3 linked regions of the Schizosaccharomyces pombe genome follow. Changing the gene in region 1 together with any one later gene gives a genetic interaction. Each region holds a gene or a part of one and is shown in the gene's direction. Other genes may lie near its edges.

Region 1 (8,912 bases):
CCTTTGTTTACTTATAATTTTAATATCTCTGGATTTGACGGTGATTCATGTATCGAGAAATTTACTCCATTAGATGCATTAGGTATAAAACCGTCCCCTATAGACGTGGATGCTCATTTTCAACCAGAAATGCTTCCACCTCTTTTTGAAACCTTTTCGTAGCACATTGGTATTTCTCTTGAAACTGCTTTCTTGAGTTTGTCGTCTTCATACCGTTATGTTTACTAATTATGATTTTAATTTATTTGATTATTTCATTTTAAGTCTTTCCGGAAATTTAGATTTGCATTTGATTTAGATTACCTAATTTTTTCGAGTTTATCGTAGACCATAAGGTCATTACTAATTTACTGACTTAATAATTTAAAATAAGATCAATTGTGATTTTAGCAAATTAATCACTTGATGATACAATTTGCTATTTATTTTTTTAGTACTAAGTCTGAATTGATTACTTCAACTCATGGCGTAAGCCAAAATCTGTGAGTTAGATAAATTGAAGTAAGTAAACAGCAGGCTACAATTTGCAGTTATTAAAATTAAAATAAAACAAACGAAATAATTAAAATATTTATGTACACAAATCTTAACAGAACTAGATAAATTGCCTTCTTTGAAGGTACTTTTTAATCTGTCCAAGTACGATTTCCCCAAGGAATAGATTGGGTAGATGCATTAGGAGTAAATGCGCCCAGCGCAACGCCCCATGGACTTTCGGGAATAAGACTTTTATTGGAAGTCGACCGAGATATTTTCCAGGTGTTTTGATTAAACGCGTTTAACAACTCATAATTATTAGGATTACTAGATTCATCTCGTGACAGACCAGAAGTGGTTGAATTAGAAGCTGTGATAACAGAATCTGTTTTGTCATCTAATAGTGCACGACTACCCATCCTTTCCTCTGTGTTGGACAAATTATTCTTCAGCTTAGGAGAACTCCCTTGACTAGGACGACAAATAGGAGATAGCTTATTTCGGATAGATGGTGACAGTGAGAAGTTATACTGCTCATGTCCTTGTTGATTTAAGACGCCTTCCTTGGATAACGGGGATTTCAAACTTGAGGACGATAAAGGGGAACTAGACGGCTCGTTCAAAACTCTATTTACTAGAGGACTTAATTGTGGACTTGAAAATGAATTAAGCAAAGCTGGTACGTTTGCTCCATTATTCAATGGATATTTATTAGCACGTTGAGAAGGAGGTGTTGCAAAAGGATAATGATGCACCGGTGAATTGGCTCTACTAAGAGAATGCCGAGCATTTGGATTTAATCCAAAATTGTTGGAATTACTTAGGAGTGAAGATGGAGAATGTAAACCATTTGGCTTTCTACCAAAATCAGTTAAGTTTACGGAATTATTAAGTGTTCTATTTAAAGGATTAGGCTCAAGAGAAATTAAAGGGTTGACGGAATTAAAAGATGAAAATAACGAAGAATTAAGCAGATTAGAAGAAGCATTGCGCTCCGATAAATTATTTGTGTTCTTAAGGCCTATGGGAGCTTGCCGCAAAGCATTAGGTACAGAATCTAGGAGATGTGAAGAAAGCTTATCCTCATCGTTTACGAGATCGCCTTTTTTTTCAAAAAGGCCAAGTTGAGAAGAAGTAGTACAACCATCAGAACCCTCTTTAGTCTGATTAGGTGCAAAGAAAGCAGCGATCTTAGCTTCTCTTAATCTCCTTTCTTTCTCTTCTGATTCTTTTTCAAGTAACTCACGACGCCGACGTTCCTCTTCTTCTTTGTCTAATTTTTCCCTTCGCTTCCTTTCTTCCAAAATACGTTTTTCTTCTTCTTCTCTTAGTCGTTGTTCTCTCGCCATTTTTTCACGGTCAGCCTCTTGTTGCTGCTTCTTCAGTTTCTTCTCTCTTTCCTTCTGCTTTTGCTTTTCCTCTCTTTTCTGACGCTCAAGTTCTTGCTGCTTTTTCTCCTGCTCACGCTTCAAACGTTGCTCTTCCCGTTTCTTGCGAGCTTCTTCCTGTCTTTTAGCTTCCAATGCTTTTTGAGCAGCCTGTTCAGCAAGACGCTCAGCTTCGCGTCTTTGACGCTCTTCCTCCTTCGCCAATTTCAATTGCTTCTTTTTATCCCTCTTTTTCTCCTTCTCTCTTATTTTTTTGAGCTCACGTTCCTGTTTGCGTTTGTTCTCCTCCTCAATCTCTTCTAAAAGTTTAGCTTGCCGTTGTTGAGCAACTTTCTCACGATAAGCTTGCAACACACGTTGCTCAAATAAACGGGCAGCAAAAATTTGGAACATCCTGCGTCCTTCTTCCATCCTTTGTTCATCGGTCATTAGATCTAACTCGTCCTCATCTACATCTTCTTCGTCTTCTTCTTCATCTTCGTCATATTCCAACCCGCTTTCGTATAACTCTGGTTCGTGAAAATTGCTATTATCTTCACGCTGCATACGACGCTCAGCTAACTGTTCCATCATTTCTATAAACTTCTTCCCATCATTCTTCAATAGGTCATCCGCTACCGTTAAGATACCTCCTTTCACCGTTAAACTACTCCCGAAGTTATAAAGATCAGAATGATAGCTATTTTTCTCATCTGCTTTAGAGGGATAAGGAGGCTGAAAAGGAGGCTGTGTTTGAGGGGAATGTGAAGTGTCTTCCAATGTCTGATTTCCGTTGCTTATAGAAGTGACGAATTCTTGATTATCCACGTTTTTTTCCTCCAAGCTAGTAGTTTCAATGACTTCTTCATCAACATCAGCATTTGAAGAATTCAACTCGTCTTGGGTTATATCATCATTGAGAGATTTTGATGGTACGTTGTTCAGAGGAATCGATAAAAGCTTAGGTGAATCGGAGATGATTCCTTTCTGGGACTTGTCTGAACCTTCGTCTGAAGCGTTTACAGACTCGGTATTTGCAAGGTTACGTTGAATATTAGCATATTGTTCTAATTCTTCATAGTAAGCATCATACAGTACTTCCAACTCTTCCTCAATTGCTAAACGTTTCCTTCCACACACCGAACAAGAGCATGAGTATTTTTGTTGCTCTTTCATTTTTTGCAAAACAGCTTCTTTTTCGACTTTAACTAACGACCTGCGTTCACTTTCACTTAAGGAAAGCCAAAATTCCCGAATTTGCTCCCGCTCCTCAGTATTCGAACTGCTCCAAATATCTTTGGATTTATTATTGTTAACGTTATTATTCATACTGGCTTGACGCACAGAACCGTTGTAATAAGAAAGCGCTTGCCCATTCCTATAAGTAATAGCAACGTCCGTAGAATAAACTTGTTCAAAATCTCTTTGATCATCCACATTCAACGATGCACTATTTGCTTTTGACTTCTTCTTCTTTTTCTTTTTCCGTTTAGATGAAGTTGACGAACCTAACGCTACTGTATTCAAATTCATATTATTTTGAACGGAGTTCGGTGACATATTGGACGACGTCGCGTCTTCCAAACCAGGTATATGAACTGGAAACTCGGCTTCATCCACGAAACTGGAGGTAGAAAGAATACATTGGGGAGAATGTTCTATGGTATCGTCAGATTCAAGAGTGAATTGCCAATCCGTCGAAGATATTCCTTCGACGTTAATCAACGATGAATCATCACCATTTGCCGAGACCAGCTGCGGATGAGAAATACGAGAATTCAAATTTGAAAGTTCCAAAGACGCTTGATGATCTATGACACCATTATTCGCGCCAACGTCTGTAACTGCAGAATCGGTCCCTGCCGACCCAAGCAAATCCACGTTTGCTTGAGTCTCGACATTTTTCTTGGCTTTCGGTTTTTTCTTCTTTTTATTCTTTTTCTTTGTACCAGAGTTGGGAATAGGTATAAGAAGATCCTTGAAACTTGGAGGTTCTAACCCTACACTGAGTGCTTCGGTGCGAAGAGCTTTATCATTCATGTTTTCTTTTTAAAAATCGCCTACCAACAACGCCTCTTTTTTTATGAGCTTAAAATATGAAACTAACGATTTAAAAAAAAAATAATTTAAATTATTTTTTTTATTCAAATTGTAGCTCACGGGTCTGCGTTGGCAATGTTTTAAGGGTAATCCCTAAAATTCTTAAATGCCGAACTGCCCACCTTTTCTTAGTTCAATATTCAAAAACAGTATACCCCAAAGTACTTGAAATAGTATATCTTCTTAGGGATTTCAACCCAGATGATCCAAATCACAAAGATTTTTGGATTTAACTAGTTCAATTGCTGCTTTGCAGAATGTGGTGAATAAAGCCAAACGGCAAATGGCGTTTTATCATATTTAATGCATCTTAACGTGCAAAATTAGTTCTTTAAGGCATGTTAAGGTGCAATAAGGAAGCGTACGATTCCAATAAATTGAATTTACGATACTTAACACCAAAAGTGTCTATAATCCGCATGGGATAAATGTCACCAAAACCACATTTCTTGAACAAATACTCTTTGAGAAGCTAATTTTTGTGCATATACTACTTTTCGTTGCTCTAATTGAAAGGCTTGGACGTTTGGCTAATCGCTTCATTTGACTATTTCGACAATCGCTTACTCATTTCTTATATTTCAAAAATTCACACCTATTTGGTTTAATTTTTACAGCTTTTCGAACCGGGAAATTTTGGTTGTCTGATCTGCAGTGAATCATTCTTTAAGAAAAATTTGCATAGAAAAAACCTCATACAGTGTTTAATCCGCTCCCTATTAAAAAGTACATGTTGCAATCTCAACCGATTAGAAGGTACGATTCTATGGCCTAATATCTTTTTGCTTCTTTTATTTCTTCTACTCAAATTCATTTTCTTTAAATATTAATATTTTTAAGGAAACTAGTAGTTGTAGGCGATGGTGCCTGCGGGAAGACGTCTTTGTTATCCGTTTTCACTTTGGGATATTTTCCTACTGTAAGTACAGATGTCATAAAAGTGAGCTTTGGCTTATCGCATATTGCACGATACGCAAATACTTATTGTCTTTTCTACCTTATTTATTTATTTATTTACTAACTTACTGGCGATAGGAATATGTAATGCTTTTTTCTCTTTATTTCGTAGAGTTTTTTAATAACAGTTACTATAGGTTCCGACTGTGTTTGAAAACTATGTTTCAGATTGTCGAGTATGTGTGATTAACAAGTTATTGAGCTTTTTCAGTTGGTTACAGAAAGTTACTTTCCCACTGGTCCCTTTTCTTTGGGTTTTGCTAATACATTTGATACTAACTAAAATAGGTTGATGGAAAATCAGTTCAACTGGCATTGTGGGATACCGCGTAAGTACTTTTTTTTCTGATGTTAAAACTATATGTTATGTATTCCTGCATACTAATTCTTGTTTTAGAGGTCAAGAGGAATATGAGGTTTGTTTCGTTATTAATAGTGAGAAATACGTCGTTAACCCAATGCAGAGATTAAGACCAATGTCTTACGCTAAAGCACACATTATTTTGGTTGGGTTTGCGATAGACTCTCCTGATTCACTTGAAAATGTTTCTACGAAGGTTCGTTTCATTAATTGTTTTTTCCAGTCATTAACATTATATAGTGGATTGAGGAAATTAATACACTTTGCCCAAATGTTCCGTTTATTTTAGTGGGCATGAAAGCCGACTTAAGGTCAGATCCCGTTGCTATTGAAGAAATGCGACGTCGAAATCAAAATTTTGTAAAATCACAACAGGTATATATTAATAATTCAAACACGTGAATACTAATTCTTGATATCAGGCTGAATTAGTAGCTCAGCGGATTGGTGCGAGAAAGTATATGGAATGTTCTTCATTGACTGGTGACGGCGTGGACGATGTATTTGAAGCTGCTACTAGGGCAGCACTAACAGTTCGGGATTCGGAAAATGACAAGAGTTCTACAAAATGCTGCATCATTTCATAATTACTAATATCCTAACGATTGCAAACATTCATGTTTCAGTTTATAGGAAAGCCTATCAGTTTATGCGACCTACATTTACAAAAAGCTGATAGACTTTTTTGCTTTTCTTCGCATTTGTTCTTTGCCGTTGTTTCATTTCGTTTTCACTTTCACTTCTGTCGTTTACTTTTTTCTTTTTCTCCCCTATACCTCAAATTTAGTTCCTATTTTATTTTGAGACTCAGGAGTATTATTATTATTTTCATCATTATAATCTTCACGCATCGGTCGAACGACACTAGCCTCCTTTTTCATTTCATTAAGCAAACCGCATTCAGTTATTATTACCTTTTTTTTTTACTCTTAAACATCTTTCATTCTTTTTCAGCATCTATTGTCCTCATGAAAACTACTTTTTGTTTAAAAGATCATAGGACTTTATTTTTAGAACTGCCGCTTGCGCTCATTATGAAGTACAAAATTCATATATGTACATATGCTTTTGTTCTCTTAGGCTAATAGAAAATGTCAGTTTTCCTTATTGATACATTTAATACGTAGGCTCACTTCGCTAAGTAATTTTATGGGGCGGTCAAATTCAAAATTCTGGCTCATTTAAGCTAAATATTAAGACACCGCCAAAGGTATACAACCATATCAAAATTTATCACCTACTAAAGTTTCGAGCCTATTTTTTTCTGGGCATTAATGGGTTGGAAATCAAGACTGGCAAGAGTTAAAGTGGTCACTCTCATCAAACAACTATGTGAAATTATATACCCTTTAAACACCCATACTCCAACAACTAACTTTTCTTCGGGCGTTCACTTCATTAAGAACAACAACCAAAAAAAAACAACCAAAATCCATCCAAATGATAAAGAATGACAAATACGCGGCAAAAATCCGGAACTACACTAAAAATTACACATTCCTTTCATTCTTGATCGTAAGAAAGGAAATCGCCAATAAAGAGAGATAAATTCATACTCAAATACATCACAGACAAAGGATATTAAGACCACAGACATATGACAGGAAAATCTAGTAAGCAGACACTAAAAAATAGTTTACCAAAGGAAAAATTTCTATGTTTACCATTCAGCAGCGACCTGTCCTTCAGCGCTACCGTTACCTACATCAGAATGGTTTTGCAAAGGCTGTTGTTCTTCCGAAGCAGCAGGTTTGTCATATGATTCAGTGGGAGCAGATGACTCCATTGATGCTTCAGGAGCAGCTGAATAGGATTTGGAACCTTCATAGGCAGGGGAGCGATTCTCTTCTCTATCACGTCTAGGAGAAGGACTACGGCTATAAGCGTCACGTCGATACTCATCATCATGGGAAGGGCGTCCATCATCACGAGAACGACGGTATTCGTCTCGTCCAGGGCGATATTCATCACCTCTAGGACGACGATACTCATCATCATGAGGACGACGATAATCACTTCTGGAATTACGTCTATACTCATCGCGACCACCACGACGGTATTCATCACGATTATTACGCCTGTATTCACCACGAGGAGCATAACGACGTTCATCATCTCTGCCGGGACGATAAGCGTCACGACGGTAATCGCCTCCTCTACGATAATCATCACGATAACGACGGCGAGCAGGTGGAGAACGTGAACGGAAGCGGGAGGGTACTTCGGGAAGGGGCTCATTAGCGGCATCCTGCTAATCGTTAGAAAATTTACGCAAGGATCTTTAAAAAAGATTAGATGCTTACAGGGTCTTCGCGTAAAGTAACTGCTTGGCCTTTAATGACTTCACCATTAAGGCTCGTCAAAGCGTTTCTCATATCCTCTTCAGTAGAAAATTCAACAACACTGCATTAAAGTTAGGTGAAAAAATGATCAAAGTAGAAACTTACCCAGCACCAGGGTTTTCACGGTGAGCATCTGTGAAAGTGGGTTCACCAGCTTTACGCATTACATCCTTCAGGTCCTATGAAAAGTGTTAACACTGAAATATAGATATATGAAAAAAATCATGCATTGACGCAAAGGTCATTAAATGTATAAAATTGTCTTACCTGCCAACTGACATCTTCTGAGAGATTTTCCACAATCAAACGGAAACCGGTGCGACGGGGACGGGGGTATCTGATACGTTAGTATAAAAATATTGCCGTAATTTTTATAGGACAATGCGATTTTGCAAGCGATAACACCGTATATAGTCACTACTCAGAGCTGATTCACATGTGAAGTGAACAAAATCGTTAGAACCAGCAATCGCGTGCAATGCCAAATCGCCCACTAATCACATATTAATGGAAACGTAACAACGTACTTAGAAGCAGCACTTTCTCTAAAGTTCTCTCTTCTTCTTCTTTCACCGCGAGCAGGTTCTACAACAATACTTCGAACATTAGCATATTTTAATCTAAATTCATAATGTATTGACTTACCGGCTGCCCATAAACTCTTTGCCCTCTTTTTTATAAGATTAGTAAATAAAGTCGAATATTAAACCTTTGAAGCATACGAAAGTCTAAACTGTTAGCAAAAGTTTTAAGATGGTATGAACGTACCATTTACGATATCACGAGCATCGCGAGCGTCTTCAACCTACATCAAGTTAGTCACATAGGGATTACAAAAAGAAGGCTAATGGTTTTATTTACCTCAACAAAGCCAAATCCATTCATCAGCTTGCAATCAAGGATTTGACCGTAACCTTTAAAAAAATCCATCATATCCTCGCGAGTCGCTAAATTTTTGTTAAAATACTATTTACATTATTTAGTTACAAACCTTGAGGAGGAATACGGCCAACAAACAATCTAGTCTCCGACATTTTTTTTTGGTGTAGTTGGTTCTTGCTGGGTGAAGTTCGACCCTCAGTCGGCAGTCTTGAGGCTGAAGGCCGGCGAAACCCAAGTTACAAAATATAAGATAATGAAATAAAATATAAAATCAAATTAAAAGAGATGGTGTTAATCAAACCTTGTCTAACGATTTTATGCATTCATCGGTCCACACTTTTTCCTAATATTGTATAAATGAAATCTGAGTAACTATCAACCATACTTCAGAGTGTCTATTGAAATGATTAAGAAGGTTAGATAATA
Region 2 (3,598 bases), 3.1 Mb from region 1:
TTCAATGGTAATAAACTGAAACCAGCGACTTCTCCATCATTAATTCTTGGGATAACAAGATCATCAACAGGTAAATCGAATACATATTGTAACTCGGGCTGAATCCAATGCCTTTTCTCCATTTTGATGTAGGAGACAGTGCCACAAGGAATAAGATTCATAGAAGAAACGTCCAAATTAGCTTCTTCAGAAAATTCCTTTATCATAGTGCCTATGACTGAATCACCATGAGCAATTCCGCCGGCAACGCTATTATCTAAATAATTGGGCCACGTTTGTTTAGTCGGTGATCTTCGTGGTACCCAAATACGAAGAGGATGTTCTTTAGTTGCTGGAATATACATGGTACAATGCACACCAGTGCTCAAAAAACCGAATAACCAAAATCCGCCCCGTTCAACGGCCAATACAGGCTTTTTAGATTTTCCATAAACAGTATATAATTCATTCCTCCATTGATCAGCAATTCCAAATGTATTGTTATGGCGCCAATGCTCCAGTACCTTAGCTAAGATGTCAGTTCTTTTTTCAAAAGTAGATGCGTTTATTTCAATATACTCTCCTGGAACATAAACCCAATTGAATTTGAAATTATCCGCCTTTATGAGGATTTCTAGTACCAAAGGGGTAACATATCCAATGGCAGCGCCATTTGCACGGAAGGGAATTGTTCCAGGAACAAATTCCCCATTAAAAGAATCGCATTCATCTAAAAGCTCTTCGGCATTTAATTGTTTAGCAGAGGTGATAGACGACATTGCCATTACCTTGCCCAAATTTTCCTCTCAAATGGATAGTGTTCTAAAATAAAACAGGAATAAAAAAGGCTAGTGTATTTATGCGAAGGAGACACTTATGGTTCAATTCAACATAAATAGAATAATATATAAAACACCCTATACTAGCAAATGGTAAAAGCTCAAGGAAACTGGTTCCTGGTAGTAGAAATCGGGTAGTTGACTAAAACCTTATCGTATAACGAAATGCTAATCTATTAAACCCCTTTCAAAATGATCTTTAAAAACAAAAAAGAAGTTGATATTAAACAAACAGTACCTTAATCAAGGTAATCTAGTAATTGTCTTTCAAGAGTGTGGTCTACGAGGAAAATTACAATGGGAGCAGAACTCCGTGCCAGGAATGTCTTGGTATTAAAAATAATAGCACACAGATTGGCTTACTAATTTTCACTTTAACACCAACCGCCGTTTTTGTAATTAATTAGGGTTTGGTATAGTTAAGCGTATCTTTCACATGATTTTTATTTTCAGTGGACTTCCTTCGTAAGTTTTTTAATAATAATTCCTGAAGTGATTGATAATTTTTCCGCTAAACGTATCAAATCTGGTTGTATAATAGTTATCGACTACAGCTATAACTTGCTGCTCAAACAATTTCATGTAAAGAACATCTGCCTACAGAAAAGCTAGCATAGAAAGTTCCTTCTTTTTTACGTCTCATAAGACGTCAATGCTTGGGATTACTCCAACATATTTACATGTATAAAAGCATGGATAATGACACTAAAAAAAAAATCGAAGGGAATAGAAAGAAAAAAAAAATCTTATACTTTTCTCACGCTTTTCTGCATCTCCGTTATATTTAAAATAATCCAAGTCACCGAAATGTTAACATAGTAGTACATCTGGTTATATTGTTGAGATAGCAATATGCTATGTTCCCTTTGCCAATTTCAACTCTAGAACAGTACATTAACAAAACAACGAATCTGAACTTTTTTTATAAAAACAAATTGTCCTTGGTTTAGCTACTGGCAGATAATTAAATTCTATTGCGTTGTTTTAAAATGAGTGTTAACAATGAAGTATCCGCTGATCAACATAACCCTGAACTAGAGGATGATACATTTGAGCATGGACCTCCGGTTTCTCTGGGAGAAAAGAAATCACTTAATGAATATATGAAGATGGATGCCGAAGATGAATCATTGCAGAAATGGAAAGCATCTCTGGGTATCACGGGAACAGGTTATTCACCCTCGAATGATCGTAGAACAGTTGTTATTTTAAAGCTGAGTTTACTTGTTGACGGCCGTGACCCAGTTGATGTTAACATGGAAGATGCAGCAAGTGTCGAACAAATCCGCAAGAAAGGGTTCACTATTAAGGAAGGAAGCGAGTTTAAGATTGGTGTTAAATTTCGTGTACAACACGAAGTAATTTCAGGCTTAAGATATGTCCAAACTGTTCGCAGACGTGGCTTTGTTGTTGACAAAACATCTACCATGATTGGCTCCTATGGACCTTCTGAAACACCTTATGATTTTACCTCTGAACCAGATGAGGCACCTACAGGTATGCTGGCTCGCGGACATTATGAAGCCAATGGAAAGTTTGTTGATGATGATAAAGTGGTCCATCATGAATTTGTTTGGGCTTTTGACGTTGCAAAAAGCTGGAAGTAGTCATTATTTATGCCAGCCTTATTTTTTAAAATCGTAAATTTCAAATCTACTTGGTTATTCAAAATTCTCGGTATTCAGTACTATAAAGAAATTTATAGTGATGTTTTGTTACAAAGCAAACATTTTCCTTTTTCTTACCAATTTCTTTCACATATCGGTGTCTGGACTACAATTGAATATGGTAATGACGATTTCTTACCACCTTCTTCAGTGAAACTTTACTTCACCCAAATATCTCGGATTGTTTGGAGATTGCCTTTTGTTGTGCAAATTACTTTTATAGCTTACATATGATCTTCACATATTCCCCTTTAGCAATCTACGTTGTTTCTTTTAAATCTCGTTCCAAAGCTTACAAATGCGATATTTTGGAAGGATATATACATCCGACTATATTCTTTTCACTGAAATTATGAGTTTTGAGATTTTGATTAAATTTTTCCAAGTATCTTATACTTTTCCACTTTTCCTTGTTGTCACCAAAGAAGTACATAGAAAACAATACAAATAGCTATTAACTAGCCTGATTAGTCCCTTTGATGGGAATTACTAGAATACTATTGTAACGGTAATAACTCATTCTTAAACTCATTTCAACGTATCTCGCTCGACTTTGAGAAAATCCTACATAGTGCTTGAAACTTAACTTTTTATTTTAATACTTCACACTGATTAAAAGATTGATTAATGAATCCTAAACCCATAAAAAGTTATTGAGCGCAAAGCTACTGTCTTAATATAGTTTTACTGCAGTAGAATAGAGACATCGTTAACTTGGTTTCTTGGTATCACACTTTTTCTTTCACTAATTCTTTGCACATCATTTGCTAGACTCTCATCTTTCACCTACTTGGTTTGGTGTAATCCGTTCCTATTCCTAACGTATTATAGATTTCCACTAAGTAGTCTGGAAATCTCGTTGTTTTAACAGCCAGCTGTCGTTAAAAATCATCTTTTATTTTTTGATAAATATGAGGCGATCAGTTATTATTGGATCCTTGCTTGCTACTGCCGCTGTTGGTAAGTTTCTAAATTTTGAAAAAGCATTGTTATGATGATTAGATTTTTGAGATAAGCGGGCGTTTGTTTTCTCTTTTTGATCTTGAAAATAGAAGTACTGTATTTCAGTCGAGATTTTATTGATAGGGTTAAACATTGATCTTGTTCAATAAG
Region 3 (3,024 bases), on another chromosome or scaffold:
AACATCCACTTCTTTAGCATTCATGTCTAATTGCATTTGCAATCGAAGCCAAAAAGCAGAGAGAGCAGAAAATTCAATTTCTAAATCCCTTAAGTTTGCTTCGTCTACATTTTGAGCAGCAAAACCAAGACACCGACTAATCAACCGTTTCAAAGGCCGTTCTTCCACAGTTAAGCGCGATCGAATCGCCGTCTCTGACATATCGGTTAACTTAATATTTTCAAAAAAAAAATTATTTATAGCATACCCTCCATAATGAATTGAGTAAAAAAAAAGCAAATTCACTATACAATTTAGTTGGGCGCTAAGTCAGTAGCTGGAGTGTTCGGAGTTTTAGTCACCGTATTTTACCGATGTTTACCGGCAAAAAGTTATTAGTACGATTATTACCTAAGAAATGTAAAAACGCTAACAAGGATTGCAGTTTGATATTGCTATAGAACAGGCGGGCAAAATGATTTTACCTCTTTTTCCAGAGACACAAGTTCATGTTTTTGTATATGAAAATGTTTCTAACTGTGCTGCGATTCATGAACAACTAATAAGCCAGAATCCCATTTATGACTATGCGTTTCTCGATGCCGCTACTATTCTATATAAAAAGCAGGTTTATAGCGCTATTATTAGGGCTCTCGAAGATAGAAGGGACGAACAAATGAAAACTAAGACGATTCACTCAGAGGTTATTTTGTCATTGTCCCCAAAAACCGAAATTTCTAGTGCGTTCCGACAATTCAGCATGACAAAAAAATCTAAAAACATTGTAGTGGTAAAAATTGATAGCAAACTTACAGAAGAAGAAGAATTTGAGCGCTTGGACAAACTTGTGGAAGGTAATAGGGTCGAATTTTCTGACGAAGAGTTACAAAAATTAATAGACTTCAAGGTGTTAAAAAAGAATTACAAATTGGATCCCTCTACGCTTGAGAATCCTTTGGCCTCTATATTATCTTCGATAGCTCTACGTGGTTATTCTTAAAAACATATGTTCTAGCAAATCTGATCTTTTGTCAATGTTTCACAATTGATTTGACTATTTTTCTATGCGGCTTGAATGATAATGATGAGAGTTCCAAATGGAACGTTGTGTGGATTCTTCTATTCCTTATAATTTTTTCCTCTCTCAAATGACTGTACAAACTATTTAGCAAGCACCTACATAATCAATTTTTGATTTACGAATTGGTAAAGGATGGCACGTAAAGTTATGCCCTCTGGTTTGGTTCAGTTTTATGATCTCTTGACAGTTTTACTAAAGTAACTAAGGGCATTTCATTACGATTATCTGTTTCGATACTTTTACCTAGGGAATGCTTTAGTGTTATTTGACATCATGTTTTGTTCTTGTGCAATATTTTTTGCTCAGGTCTATTGGCGATGAATTACTATATGGTGGATCTCAGTGCAAAAAGTTTACCATTATGTGAATAGTTATTAAAAGTTTAATGGGATTATAAATTAATGGGTTTTTTATTGCGCACCTTATGCTCCTGTTATAAAGAAAAGCAGGTCGCAAAGGTAAGAACTATTTTTATACAACAATAAAGGTTTTTACATCGTATGTTTTACAATTAACTGGCAGCTCTTTGTCAAAATTGTTTATTTACGGATTTAACTTGCCTTCTTGCGGTATTGACTGCTAAGCCGGAATTTGTGATATCAAGCCATCCGTTTCCCAGTCACGCGAAAACTCTTCCTTATGGAAATTTCATTTTAACAAGTACAAATCTGTTAAAACTACATTCATATAATCATATGCAGGCAGCCGATTAGAGAAAAACTAAATTTCTTAGGCAGAATTGTCATTATCCGTCAATACCGCGTTTTTTTTATTTTCCGCTTTGATTTTTTTTATCATTCTTTTTGGTTCTTTTATTTTTGTTTTTATTTGTTTTGTTTTCTTTTTTTCCTTTTCAAAAGTCATTTGAAGACAAAAACTCAACGTTGAAGAGAGCATTTGTTCATCTGTTGACTTTTCGCCAATACACCTGTTTTTTTATGGACTTGCTAAGTATAGTGTAAATTTAACGCTGTCGTTGATCCGTATGATTTCTTTTGATTAATTTAAATCGTTATATGTGACACTAGCAATTTTTGCTTCATGGCGGAAGAGACTGAAGAGGATTATTTAGTTGTGGGTCGTGATTACTTGTACCCCCCAGATCATGAACTGCACTATGGGTTTCATGCTCGTGTGATTGAAGAGGAGGAGGAGCGATTTGTAGATGATACCTTTGATGAAACAATCGAAGGATCGGATGACTCCGAATCAATAGATGATACGGAAGTATTTTACGATGCTGAAGAATCTGAAAGCACTCACCCTTCTGCTTCTTTCAACGTCCTTGCTGACGCCGTTGCGCTTTATGATTTCGAGCCCCTCCATGATAATGAACTCGGTTTTACTACTGGTCAGAGACTTTGTATTTTGTCGGAATCCAGCGATGGTTGGTTGATTGCATACGATGATGCCTCAGGAAGAAGCGGGCTTGTTCCTGAGACGTTTGTTAAATTAGAGGTATAAAAGAGCGTTGAATTGAACCCTTTTTACTTTTTCTTTTTGTCAAATTGATTTTAAAATGTTATTCCTTATTTTATGTTCCAAGATTTTCTGGATCCTCTCCTTTATATATAAGAATCCGAAGTGTTACGGGAAAAAAATTCGGATTGTCACGCTTCTTATGAATATTATTTAAATGTACGCCTTTAAAGCAACTATCATACAATTCTCCTTTGGGTAAATAACTAACCTTGGGATGTGTCGTAACTTGGGACTTATTTTTGATTTGTTATAAGGATGAAATGAATGTTCTATCTTATGGACCTTACAAGAAAAACTATAATATTGTCAAATATAATCATATGAGATGAGTTAAGCTACATAAAACTCTTTGAAACTTTATTTTATATTATTGCAACCTTCTAATAACTTTACATCTTCTTATCCAAAGAAGAAGGGTTAGAATGTACCGTGTTTTACGGAAGTTCCATTCCCGTAGGGTTACAATGTGTTGCTAGAATAAA

What was found.
Region 2: of rho2 (region 1) and rdi1, changing one suppresses a phenotype caused by changing the other (phenotypic suppression), as found in Schizosaccharomyces pombe (one study listed by BioGRID).
Region 3: of rho2 (region 1) and skb5, extra expression of one rescues a mutant of the other (dosage rescue), as found in Schizosaccharomyces pombe (one study listed by BioGRID).

Annotation. Positions count from the first base shown.
Region 1 is NC_003424.3:4,418,328-4,427,239, forward strand, and holds rho2 (Rho family GTPase Rho2), read left to right. Parts: upstream 1-4,363; 5' UTR 4,364-4,674; coding exon 4,675-4,700; intron 4,701-4,784; coding exon 4,785-4,863; intron 4,864-4,979; coding exon 4,980-4,985; intron 4,986-5,038; coding exon 5,039-5,077; intron 5,078-5,189; coding exon 5,190-5,230; intron 5,231-5,298; coding exon 5,299-5,317; exon of another isoform or gene 5,318-5,365; coding exon 5,366-5,458; exon of another isoform or gene 5,459-5,502; coding exon 5,503-5,637; exon of another isoform or gene 5,638-5,684; coding exon 5,685-5,849; 3' UTR 5,850-6,319; downstream 6,320-8,912. Other genes in the region: SPOM_SPAC29E6.09 (uncharacterized protein), read left to right, coding at 1-162; protein nst1, read right to left, coding at 627-3,884; srp2 (guard protein for 5'-capping of pre-mRNAs Srp2/Npl3), read right to left, coding at 6,923-7,510, 7,566-7,665, 7,710-7,783, 7,872-7,941, 8,132-8,200, 8,250-8,274, 8,327-8,332, 8,373-8,409 and 2 more. UniProt on the Schizosaccharomyces pombe protein: Involved in cell morphogenesis, the maintenance of growth direction, control of polarity and of cell wall integrity. Regulates the synthesis of alpha-D-glucan through activation of pck2.
Region 2 is NC_003424.3:1,318,039-1,321,636, forward strand, and holds rdi1 (Rho GDP dissociation inhibitor Rdi1), read left to right. Parts: upstream 1-1,686; 5' UTR 1,687-1,807; coding exon 1,808-2,425; 3' UTR 2,426-3,098; downstream 3,099-3,598. Other genes in the region: tnr3 (thiamine diphosphokinase Tnr3/ Nudix hydrolase fusion protein), read right to left, coding at 1-764; TOM complex subunit Tom20, read left to right, coding at 3,397-3,445.
Region 3 is NC_003421.2:920,968-923,991, forward strand, and holds skb5 (Shk1 kinase-binding protein 5), read left to right. Parts: upstream 1-1,666; 5' UTR 1,667-2,101; coding exon 2,102-2,524; downstream 2,525-3,024. Other genes in the region: THO complex subunit Tho7, read right to left, coding at 1-194, 248-254; EKC/KEOPS complex subunit Cgi121, read left to right, coding at 455-979.